Schizosaccharomyces pombe: one gene and its partners. The protein of the gene in region 1 purifies or fractionates together with the protein of each later gene. This does not show direct contact. Each region holds a gene or a part of one and is shown in the gene's direction. Other genes may lie near its edges.

Evidence for each region.
Region 2: the proteins of nts1 (region 1) and oga1 purify together in Schizosaccharomyces pombe (affinity purification with mass spectrometry, with the first as the bait; one study listed by BioGRID). This does not show direct contact.
Region 3: the proteins of nts1 (region 1) and nop56 purify together in Schizosaccharomyces pombe (affinity purification with mass spectrometry, with the first as the bait; one study listed by BioGRID). This does not show direct contact.

The regions. Positions count from the first base shown.
Region 1 is NC_003421.2:933,139-936,895, reverse strand, and holds the start of nts1 (protein Nts1), read left to right. Parts: upstream 1-1,740; 5' UTR 1,741-1,972; coding exon 1,973-2,132; exon of another isoform or gene 2,133-2,201; intron 2,202-2,611; coding exon 2,612-3,757.
Region 2 is NC_003423.3:4,282,242-4,285,968, forward strand, and holds oga1 (protein stm1), read left to right. Parts: upstream 1-1,687; 5' UTR 1,688-1,696; coding exon 1,697-1,714; intron 1,715-1,982; coding exon 1,983-2,356; intron 2,357-2,418; coding exon 2,419-2,881; 3' UTR 2,882-3,215; downstream 3,216-3,727. Other genes in the region: Hrd1 ubiquitin ligase complex subunit Ufd1, read left to right, coding at 1-131, 312-344, 401-522, 571-1,272. UniProt on the Schizosaccharomyces pombe protein: Ribosome preservation factor that protect a small pool of nontranslating, vacant ribosomes in cells under nutrient starvation conditions.
Region 3 is NC_003423.3:940,743-944,499, reverse strand, and holds the start of nop56 (U3 snoRNP protein Nop56), read left to right. Parts: upstream 1-2,126; 5' UTR 2,127-2,181; coding exon 2,182-3,675; 3' UTR 3,676-3,757. Other genes in the region: chaperonin-containing T-complex zeta subunit Cct6, read right to left, coding at 1-1,139, 1,281-1,344, 1,383-1,456, 1,502-1,558. UniProt on the Schizosaccharomyces pombe protein: Required for 60S ribosomal subunit synthesis.

The DNA.
Region 1 (3,757 bases):
TCAGACTTTATTTTTTTAATATTTTCTTTTGTTAAGCAATTTCGTTTAAAAATAAACATATCCGACTTTGATGCTTCAAAAATTTAATGTAATAAAATAATATTCCTGTTTTTGAATCTGGGTTAAAATCATATCGGATACCTTATAAAATTCACTGATCATTTAAAAAAAAAAAAAAAAAAAAAAAAAACCCCCCGAAAACATACAATTTTGTTAATTTTCAAATGCATTCTTTTGAGGTCAAGCCATATTTACTTTTATCCCAAATATTAAATTTAAGTGTCATATGCAAAGTTGCAAATTCGCCGACCGTAGGGCTATCAAAACTGATGATGTTTAAAAATTGACTAATGGAACAAATTTATCTTGAGATGAAATGATGTTGTTCAAAATTAATATAATTTTTTTTTGCTGTTTCCTCTTGCTTTATACGCATTTTCCTGCACCTCTCTTTCAGAATACACATTATTCTTATTTGGTATTAAGATTCACCAATTGATAAAATAACACCTAATTGTATGCCACGGCTATCTTGCTATTATTGTAATTTCGCTTTATATTCGATTTTGACGAATGAACCCTGTCAAGTTGGAAAATGCAAAAGCAGTATTCTACCGTTACCTCTCAGTAGTAAAATGACCTTCCATCGATGAAATTCTCTAACATTCTCTTCGTATTTAAAAATGTATGGATCGTATATTCCTTGCTTATCCACGATTCATGAACAATTAAGATTTGCTGAATGGGTAACACATATTCTGCGTTACCTCGTATAGTTCATTGTTAATCAATGTTTAAACACTAAATTTCCCATCTCCCACTGTTAATTGAAAATAGGTTTTATTCAATAAATTACCATTTAAAAAGACATGTTATTTTAAGTTATATATTTTATGAACCTAAAGATTGAAGTAAAGGCCTTCGGAGCCTTTAGTTCCCCTACTATGTGCCTCTACTCGCTTCTTGGGGCTTAACTGTAATGTAGTATTGCCAATTACACAAAAAATTTATATTGTTCTTTAGCTTCTTATAATTCATTTAAATGAGAGGTAAAAAATTCGAGAAGACATTTCAGAAAACTACAGAAGTATCCATTTGTTTGAAATTAACTGTCCTAATGCAGATGAATCCTATGTAATAGAAATATTACAACCGTGGCTATAAAAGAAGTTGAGAGTTAGTTATACGTAAGAATATCTTTTAAAGATTTCAATCGACATCTCACATGATTCATCAGTATTAAACGTAAAAGTTTACATATTAGTTGTAGCACTATTCGTGATAAATGAAATAGTAAACCAAAAAACGAACGAGGAATAATCTTTTCATCACTAGAATATTAAAATTATTTTATATAATCAAAGTTAGAAAGATTCCTTTAGTTCCTTGAAATATTCTTTAATTATTATTGCAGCACTAAGGATTGCATCACTGATATGTCTCAGTAATGATTATCAGAACGTCTGGTAATAAAGCACGATCCTCTCTCTTTTTTTGTTCTGACTCTCGTCAGGATGAATTCCTTCTCAAAGTGCCGGGAGGAATTGCTTTGTATTTTTTGTACCGTACTTACATTTTATCGTATACTTTCACCTTAGCGCTTTTGGTGTCAAAACAATAGAGATGTAAATTTTAATAGAAATTAAAGCTTATTGGAATTTTTGTTTTCAAGTGTTTTAACATGTAGTGATTGTGTAAAGTATATGTTTACGTTCTAGTAATCGACTACCGTTGAAACTTGCAAACTACCAAACAGTATTGCAGACAGTGAATCAGTCGACGGAGCACTTGAATCAATTTGTTAATAATATAGAGATTAAATTCACAATTTATTGACACATGATTAACTGAATTCATTAAAATATTTGTTTTTTTGGTATATATTTCCTTTCAATACCCTCGCTATTTGTTTCTTAATAACTGAAGACAACATTGATCTACTTAATATATATGACTCAAAACTCACAGAGTAATGGTGAAATCGTGTCAAAAAAAACCGGATATTGATGAGTTCTTTTCATTTTTGCAGAGTGCATTCCATCCTCTACAGACCGAGGAACTTGATACATTCGTTCGCAACATTTTTGAATATGACGATCGAGGTCGTTTGTACAACTGCCTTTTAACTCTAGGTAAGAATGAATATTAGATATAATCAAGTTTATTTTTATCGCTTTTTCTAAAATTGTGAATTTTCAATTGATCGTCGTATGCTTGATAGCAATTTTGATGATCTTTTATCAAACATTTTGCACGCCTATAACTCTAAGGTTATATCAATTCAATTTTCTCAAAGAAACATATAAAATTTTACTCTATTCATGACTTGGCATGAGTGGTTGGATGAGACTGTGGCGTTGGTCGTTAATTATATTTTTTGTTGTTTCTGTTCGAAATTGAATGGTTGATTTCAACATTTAGCCCTTGGGTTTTTATTTCCCTAGGAAAAATGTTTGGGAGATTTAACCGTACAGTTTTCTGTAAAGCAAATGATTGTATAAAAAAATTATGATGACTGAAAATTCAAATCTACTACAATGTCACTTGAAAAATCGATTTCTTTTTTGATGTTTTATTTCTTTTTTATTAAAATTTCTAACCGTTAATGCAGTTCCTTATGAAAGACTTCCAATAGATGCAGAGGATCTTAGTAGTCGAAAAACCTATGCGCGTCCCGTACTAATCCGACAATACCGCAGTTTGCGGTTTGCCAACAAAGAAGAAAACATTTGTCGGCTAACTCCCAACTCAGCGTTCGTCCCTGTTCGAGACTCTGCAGTCGCTAGCATTTCAACCTCAAAAGTGCAGGACTTTAACTCCTATGCTACTCTCACTGAAGCACAGAAAAAAACGGCCACTCCCGTTGAGGAAAAAAACTTCTTAAATCAAATTGTCATACAATGTTTAGACTCTTTGGAAACCGACGTTGAAACAAATACCACGCATGCTACTTTACTAGCCGTTGACCCTACTTGGTTAATCCGTGTATCACAGCATACCTGTGATCGGAAAGCTGTGGCTAATCTCTGTATTCAGTATGGAAGTCAAATATTTTATGATCCATCATTTCGAAATGCTTATGAATTATGGTCCAATCCTTCAGTTCTTTTGGCTTTTTTGAAGGCCCAAAGAGTGTTGGTCGTTTCAGATATATTTACTTCGTCAACATTGAGATCAACACAAGGGACGCCAATGTCTTTTCCTAATTTAGCTTTGGAAAGCGCTGATAATGTCGAGAACGTATCAAAGCCTATTAACCCTCGAATGGAAAGGTTTTCATCAGAGGTTAAATCTTCGAGTATTCTGAAACAACAGATTGCAGCCGTTGTTGAGAAAATCAATTATGACATACGCCCTCAACGTGATCAAATCCCTGAAGAAAATATCGTACCTAGAATCTCTTACTTAACAAGTACCACTACTTCGACCAAATCATCACCGGTTCCCGAAAGCACTACAACAAACACAACTGAAGTGCTGAAAGAACTTAATGACATTCAAGAGAACAAAAGCAGAAAAAATGTTGAAAAAGCGACTGCGGCAACAGAAGAAATGCTACGTGGCCATCACAAACCGGTAGAAGGAACAACGGCTACTTCGGAAAAAGAAAGCATTAAAGAAGAAGTTGATTTAGAAGTTAACGGTGACGGGAAAGTTGAAGCGGAAGAGAGAATAGAATTGGAATCTTCCGATTCAGAGAAAGAGCTTTCAGAGCTGATTGATTTTCTTAAAAGAGAACACCCACCGGAAGATACTC
Region 2 (3,727 bases), on another chromosome or scaffold:
CTCCATGATGTCTCAACTTCGGTCAGCTTTTCATAATAATGTAAATCAGCGATTTGATACTCGTTACCGCTGTTATCCTGTTGCCATGATTCCTGGTGAGGAACGGCCAAATGTCAATTATGGTGGGAAAGGTAAGGTTTGAAAATACTTTTAAGTTTTCACATTGTTGGAGATTTGATTTTATATACTCATGAAGTTCATGTGATTTTATCTTTGAGCGCTTGCTTGCGCATTTGCTTATGGTTAACATTCTCTGCTCAATATTTTTTATATTGTTATTGGGGATTATTAGTATTAACAACTACGTCTAGTAATATTACCACCTTCAGCTTTAGAAAAACTATGTACGTAATGCGAAGAGAATTTATTAAGCCTTTTAAATCTGTTAATTAACTATTAGCACGCCTGAATGTCAGTTATCCCATGCTTTTTGACTTTGAAAACGAAGCTGCAGAGAAAAAAACTCATGGGGGTGTGTTAGAATTTATTGCGGAAGAGGGACGTGTCTACCTGCCTTATTGGGTATGAAAAAATTTAAAGACTGTCAGAAATGTACTAACTAGGGCACAGATGATGACTACACTTAGCCTTGAGCCTGGAGATTTGGTTCGAGTTATAAATACTGATATAGCACAGGGCAGCTATGTCAAATTACAGCCTCAAAGCGTGAATTTTCTTGATATCACGGACCACAGAGCGGTATTGGAAAATGCGCTTAGGAATTTCAGTACGCTTACAAAATCTGATATATTTGAGATTTTGTATAACGACCAGGTATATCAAATAAAAGTTATAGATGTTCAACCTGATGACTCCCGCCATGTTGTCTCAGTGGTAGAAACCGATTTGGTAGTTGATTTTGATCCCCCCATCGGTTATGAAGAAAGTTTGCAAAAAAACAAGCAGCAAAATATTGCTGGCGTTCAAGGAACGATGGTTACCAAGATTGGTTACGATGAGCTGGTGAGGCAGGGCGATTCGAATTTGATGAAGGGAACAGGGACTAAACTAAATGGTAAAGAAGTTGCTGAAGTGCCTAAAATAAATTTGCTCGATGTTGAGAAACAAGAATGTCCTGCTCCGTTGATCCTACCATTGGGTACATACTTCTTTGGGTATCCTTATAAAGCACCCTCTATTGAAGAAGATTCTAAGAAAGACCCCAATTTATTTAAGTTTGAAGGTGCCGGTACATCTCTACGTGCCTCTCGCAAAACAAATGGAACAATGGGAAAAGGTTCCTCTGATGACCCAATCGATATTGATGCTTAATGTTAATCGTCTCAAGTTATTACTTGGTTGGATTTAGTTTATAACGATTTTAGTACCAGTCTTTTTACATTGAATGAATTAATTTATTATTTGTTTCAAAATATAATGTAATTAATTCTTACTTAGACTGCCTAGCTTTTTTTTACCAGTAGTATATTTCTTAATAAAACTTATTTTAATGCTAAAGAAATGAATGATTCGATAAAACGAATATTGACAATTGTAAGCCAAGTGCTTCCGATATCATAGAAAAAAGACAGGCATTGTGTTGAATAACTGTAATTTTAAGATAGCCTTAGGTATTACCGTAAGATGATGGACAAAGCACATCATTTGTTTCAACCTACCCTAAGTTTGAGTGACTGCTTTTTGGATGACTGTAGTTGTGTAACTGAACACACACAATTAACTTTCCAGCTTCCAAATGTCTGTTGCATCCAAGGTATGATTTAAACATTTTATCATTAAACGATTATTTTAAGGGTTAGGAAATGAACGAACTGGTAATTATTTGTAGCATGTTTTAGGGCTGTGTTTAAGGTTTCATTACTGCGACCCGAATGAAATACTTTATAGAAGTATAGCCTGTATAAAGACGCTCAAGTATTAAAAAATATAAATTCACATTTCGTTCATTATTCTTTAGAGTGTTAGCTCTGCAGACTCTGCTGATTTTTATTTTGTTTTCGCAAGTAGTAACCAAATTATAGAACCTCTTTGACCTCCTCGGAGAGGAGACTCCCGCAGCTACTACTACCGAGAAGAAAACCGCTGCTTCTCGTGACAAAAAGCGCTCCGACAGCCCTCCTGTCCCCCGCGAATTAGTCGCTCAAAGCACCACCTCTAGGAAGCGTGACCCTAACCAACCCACTCCTCGTGAGCGTACCGTTAATAAGAAGGCAGACCAACCTCGCAGACGCCGTCAAGCTCCTCAAGGAAACGAAGCCTTTGCTCGTGAAGGCAAAGAAGCTCGTGCTAACAACGCTGCCCATCCTGTGGATGCCACTGGCGCCCCCTCCAACCGCCGCAATGCTCGTGCTCGCCGTGGTCGTGAATTTGACCGCCATAGCCAAACTGGTAGAGTGTATGTGTTTTATTTTTCTACATGTGAATGCCAAATTATATAATTGCTAACCATTATTTTAGTGATACCAAGAAGGCTACTGAACGTGGCTGGGGTGATCTCGTAAACTCTGCTGCTAACCCTGATGTTGCAGAGAACGAAGGTAACACTCCCTCTGGAGCCCAAACTCCTGCTGCCGAGGAGGAAAATGTTAAGACTCTTGATGAATATCTGTCTGAACGCAAGTCCGCCGCAAAGCCTGTTGGTCGTACTGTTGAGAAACTTGAAAACGCTACTAAGGTCGAGAAGAGTGCCCCCGAAGAATTGTTTGCCTCTCTTAAGAAGAGCGCTTCTCAAAAGAAGTCTGCTGCCAAGGAAAGCAAGCCAAAGAAGGTTCTTCTTGATATCGAGCAAACTTTTACTGCTCGTCCTGCTCGCGGTGGCCGTCCTAACCGTGCTCCCCGTCGTGGTCCTTCAGAAACTGCCTCAAAAACCCAACAGGCACCTCCCACCCTTTCTGAGACTGACTTTCCCGCTCTTGCATAGATGAACTGGTGACTTGAGAGTAGCCTATTGATGTGGAGCGTTTGATTGGTCTTGGATGAAATTTCGTTGTCAAGCGTATGTGGAAAGGTGTGTGTTATCTTACAGATCCCTTTTTGTTTATTTTCCATTGAGCATCATTCGGGTTTCTAGGTTATTCAGTGATTCTTATCATTAAAGCGGTCTAAGGTGTATTCTGTGGTTGCATTCCCTTTTTTGATCCACATTTTGCGATGAATTGACTAAATATTTTTCAAAATGGTCGAATACTAGTGTGTAAAAAAAATTTCATTCTCGTATCTATTCACAACTAATATTAAGAAGATGCGCGTTTAAATCGTCTACCGACTGTTATCTTGATATAACGTATCTTATTTTTAATCTGTAAATATCAGCCTTAGTAATTGTGTACATAACAAAAGCATATTTCAGTGTACGGTAGGTCTGCCTGTGCAATTCACAAATACTCCATTTATTATTCCAATTGATTTTGTCATTTTCAAATGTCGTTTGCAGGGATATTGAAACGGACGTTGAATAAAGCCTTCTTAACCTTGTAAAATGACTATAGGAAAGTTATGAACGAGTTTGTGTATCGGTAACATAACAGGTAAATCACTCTTCATAATGCAAATTGCGGTTTACTTTTTATAGCATCATTTTTGATAGCTATTTAAAAAATTTGAAAGTTAATATAATTAATAAACTCGAGGATATGAGCAAACTGATAAAACGCGCTATATCGCGAATTCGCGCTTTAAAGGGCGTCGCGTCGCGTTGCGTTGGACACCGCTTATATACGTGCCACAAGTACGCAACAATCGACGAGTCGCAAAAAAACTGTCTCTG
Region 3 (3,757 bases), on another chromosome or scaffold:
AGAGCATCGGCATAAGCATATACTCCCATTTTAGCCTTTCCCTTAACTTCTTTAGCAGCAAACTTGTTGCGAAGATGAGCAGCGCAAGCAACTTCAAAAGCACCGGCTCCAACTATCAAGCAGTTGTCTTCTACAGCATTTTTTACCGCACGAAGACCATCCCGAGTTGCATCTTGAATTTGTTGTATTGTATATGTATTGGGTCCATGAATTAAAATAGTCGCACTTTTAGGATCTTTAACGTCCTCAACAAAAGTGTATTTTTCCTCACCTAATGTTCTCTCATAAACCGATCCAGCCCATCCTAAAACCTCAGGATTGAGATCGTCCACACTGTTTTGGGCTACCCCGCCGCATGCTAACTGAAGTCGTTCCATATTACGACGTTTAGCTCGTCTCAGAGCCATAATACCATTCTTAGCTAATACATCAAGAGAAAGGGGGTCAATACCTTTTTGATTGATAATAACAAAATTCGCAGTGGGATCTCTTTCACAAACTTCCTTCTTAAGTTCAACGATTTTGCGCAATTTATTGTCAACAAATTTCCTTTCACTTTCGACTAATCGTTCACGTTGTTCCGAAGTACTATAAAAAAATCCCGAGTTTATCTCACTCTTTTCGTATTCCAAAGAAACATTTAAAATTAATATATAAGCGTTTTTCACTTGCTTGGGCATATCGGGGTGACGAGCTCCATGATCGAGAAGTAAACCGCGAATCAATTGAGTATCTGAAGCAGAGCGATTTTGCATCTTCATAATCTCGACCATATGAAGATCAATAGGTTCATCAGGACGACGAATTGTCAATATAGCATCAACAACAGCAGGTGCAAGTGACTCAACAACTTTTGAGGAAATCTTCGTACTTAAGGAGGTTTTCGCAACGTTTAACAAAACCTCACGGTCGACCTCAAAATCAGTCTTAAAACTATCCAAAAATGTAAGGGCTTCATTCTTTGCTAAATTAAATCCATCGCTAATTAAAGAGGGGTGAAGCCCTTCACGAATATAAAGTTCAGCTTGCTTAAGTAATTCACCAACCAAAAGACATACGGAAGTCGTACCATCTCCTGTGGCATCGTCTTGAGCAGTTGCAGCCTTGGCTATACAAGAGGCAGTTGGATTTTGTATTTGCTACCAATAAAGTTAGTACACAACTCAATACTCATTATTAAAAGCAACATGAGACCTAAAGTAGTCAAAAAAATTCCAAAATTATCAAAAAAGGAAAGAAAGAAAAAAGCATTTGCAGTTAATGTGTTCTTAATCACTTACCATTTCCGTAAGCAGGACTTTACCGTCCTTCGTAAGCTTAATAGCACCAGCGCCATCAACCAACCTAAAATTATGAGTTGCTAAACTATAAAAGTAACTTACATTTTCGTTGTTCCAGTTGGCCCCAAATTGCTTTTCAAGACATCTTGCAAACCGATTGCTGCTGAGATATTAACCTGCCAACGTTAGCGATACTGCTTAAACAAATATTATAGACCAACCTGAAGAGCCTGCGCTCTCTGAATTGATTCCGCTTTGGGATTCAATAAGGACAACATTGAGCTTAAAGTAAATCACCAAATGAACTGTAGTTGGTTAGTTCAGCTACTTATTAGTCGAATATTTACTGAAGTCTTTAAAAATATCGTAAATTTGCGTACTGCGTTAATAATTATCAAATGTAAGCTACGCAGTTTGGTATCTATTTTAACGATACTTAGACTACGGCGAGTTTTCCTTGTGACCTATTGTATTGCAATACGCAGGTAATATAAGTAGCAACTGAGTATAGGTATTATACCATCTAGGTTATATTATTACTTATCACTATTATCGCTTATAAATGAACTGAGGAATGAGGTTCAACGGAATATTTATTTGCAGTATCAATACAATATAAAATATTAATAGGTTATCATTAAGTTCAATCTCGGTATCGTCAAAGATGGCATGATGAATAAATACGACATGTGACATATAGTGATACACAACGTAGTGTAAAATAGCGTTGTTTAGTATTGCTGAATCAAATCGCTTCAAAATTAATTTAATGTAGGTTACTATACCCTATCATAAACTACGTTAAAAAAAATACATCAAACTTTTGAATAGTTCGCACAAATTTTCACCCACAGCACTAACGCCGAGTCAGAATTGCGGCGTGAAGTACTACAAGTGAAGAATGGCTGATTACTTGTTGTATGAGTCTGCGACAGGGTATTCCCTTTTTGATGTCGTTGGAGCTGATCAAATAGCAGCGAAGACAAAGGAAGTGCAGTTGTCTCTTCAGGATATTTCAAAATTTGGTAAAGTGGTGCAGCTTAGAAGTTTTATTCCTTTTAAAAATGCTGCCCATGCTTTGGAAAATGCCAACGACATTTCTGAAGGCGTTTTGAATGATTTTTTGAAAAACTTTTTGGAACTCAATTTGCCGAAAGCCTCAAAGAAGAAAAAGGTGTCTCTGGGAGTCCAAGACAAAAATTTAGCAACGTCTATTAAATCCGAAATTGATGCCATTGAATGTGACACTTCTGAGCTTACCCAGGATCTTCTCCGTGGTATTCGTTTTCATGGTGATAAACTTCTCAAGCAACTATCACCCGGTGATTTCGAAAGGGCTCAGCTTGGTTTAGGACATTCATACTCTCGCGCAAAAGTGAAGTTCAATGTTAACAGAAATGACAACATGATTATCCAAGCTATTGCTATCCTTGATCAACTTGACAAGGACATTAATACTTTCGCTATGCGCATGAAAGAGTGGTATTCTTGGCATTTCCCTGAGCTTTCGAAGATCGTTGGAGACAATTACAAATACGCTGTTATTGTTACACTGGTTGGTGATAAAACCACCATTAACGACGAAATGCTTCATGATCTGGCAGCCGTTGTAGACGATGACAAAGATATTGCTCAAAGTATAATCAACGCTGGTAAAGTGTCTATGGGACAAGATATCTCTGAAATTGACCTCGAGAATATTCTATCTTTTGCTGAACGTGTTATTAAACTTAGTAATTATCGTAAACAGCTACATAACTATTTGGTTCAGAAGATGAATGTTGTTGCTCCCAATCTTGCTGAATTAATTGGTGAGATGGTTGGTGCTCGTTTGATTTCTCATGCCGGAAGTCTAACTAACTTGTCAAAATGCCCGGCTTCTACGGTACAGATTCTAGGTGCTGAAAAGGCTTTGTTCCGTGCTCTGAAAACCCGTGGAAACACGCCTAAATACGGTATTATTTACCATTCTAGTTTTATTGGAAAAGCTGGCGCTAAAAACAAAGGCCGCATCTCTCGTTTCTTGGCTAACAAATGTTCTATTGCTAGCCGTATTGATAACTTTAGCGATGCCCCAACTACGGCATTTGGTCAAGTTCTTCGTCGACAAGTCGAGGAACGTCTCAACTTTTTCGATACCGGTGTCGCCCCTACTCGCAATAGTATTGCAATGGCAGAAGCTTATGAAAAGGCATTATCGAGTGTTAACATAGACGGAGACGAGGAGGTTGACATTGACGTTGAAGAGACTGTTGAAACCATTTCAGAAAAGCCGAGCAAGAAAGAAAAGAAAGACAAGAAGGAGAAGAAAAAGGAGAAGTCTAAGAAAAAGCGTTCTGCCGATGATGCATCAGAAGAAGTCAAGAAAAGTAAGAAGAAAAAGAAGAGCCATTGAGACGTTATTTTTATTAGGATATAACGGGGACCATATTGCTCTTGCATATTTAGAACAACTTGTAATTGAAAAATTTGCTATA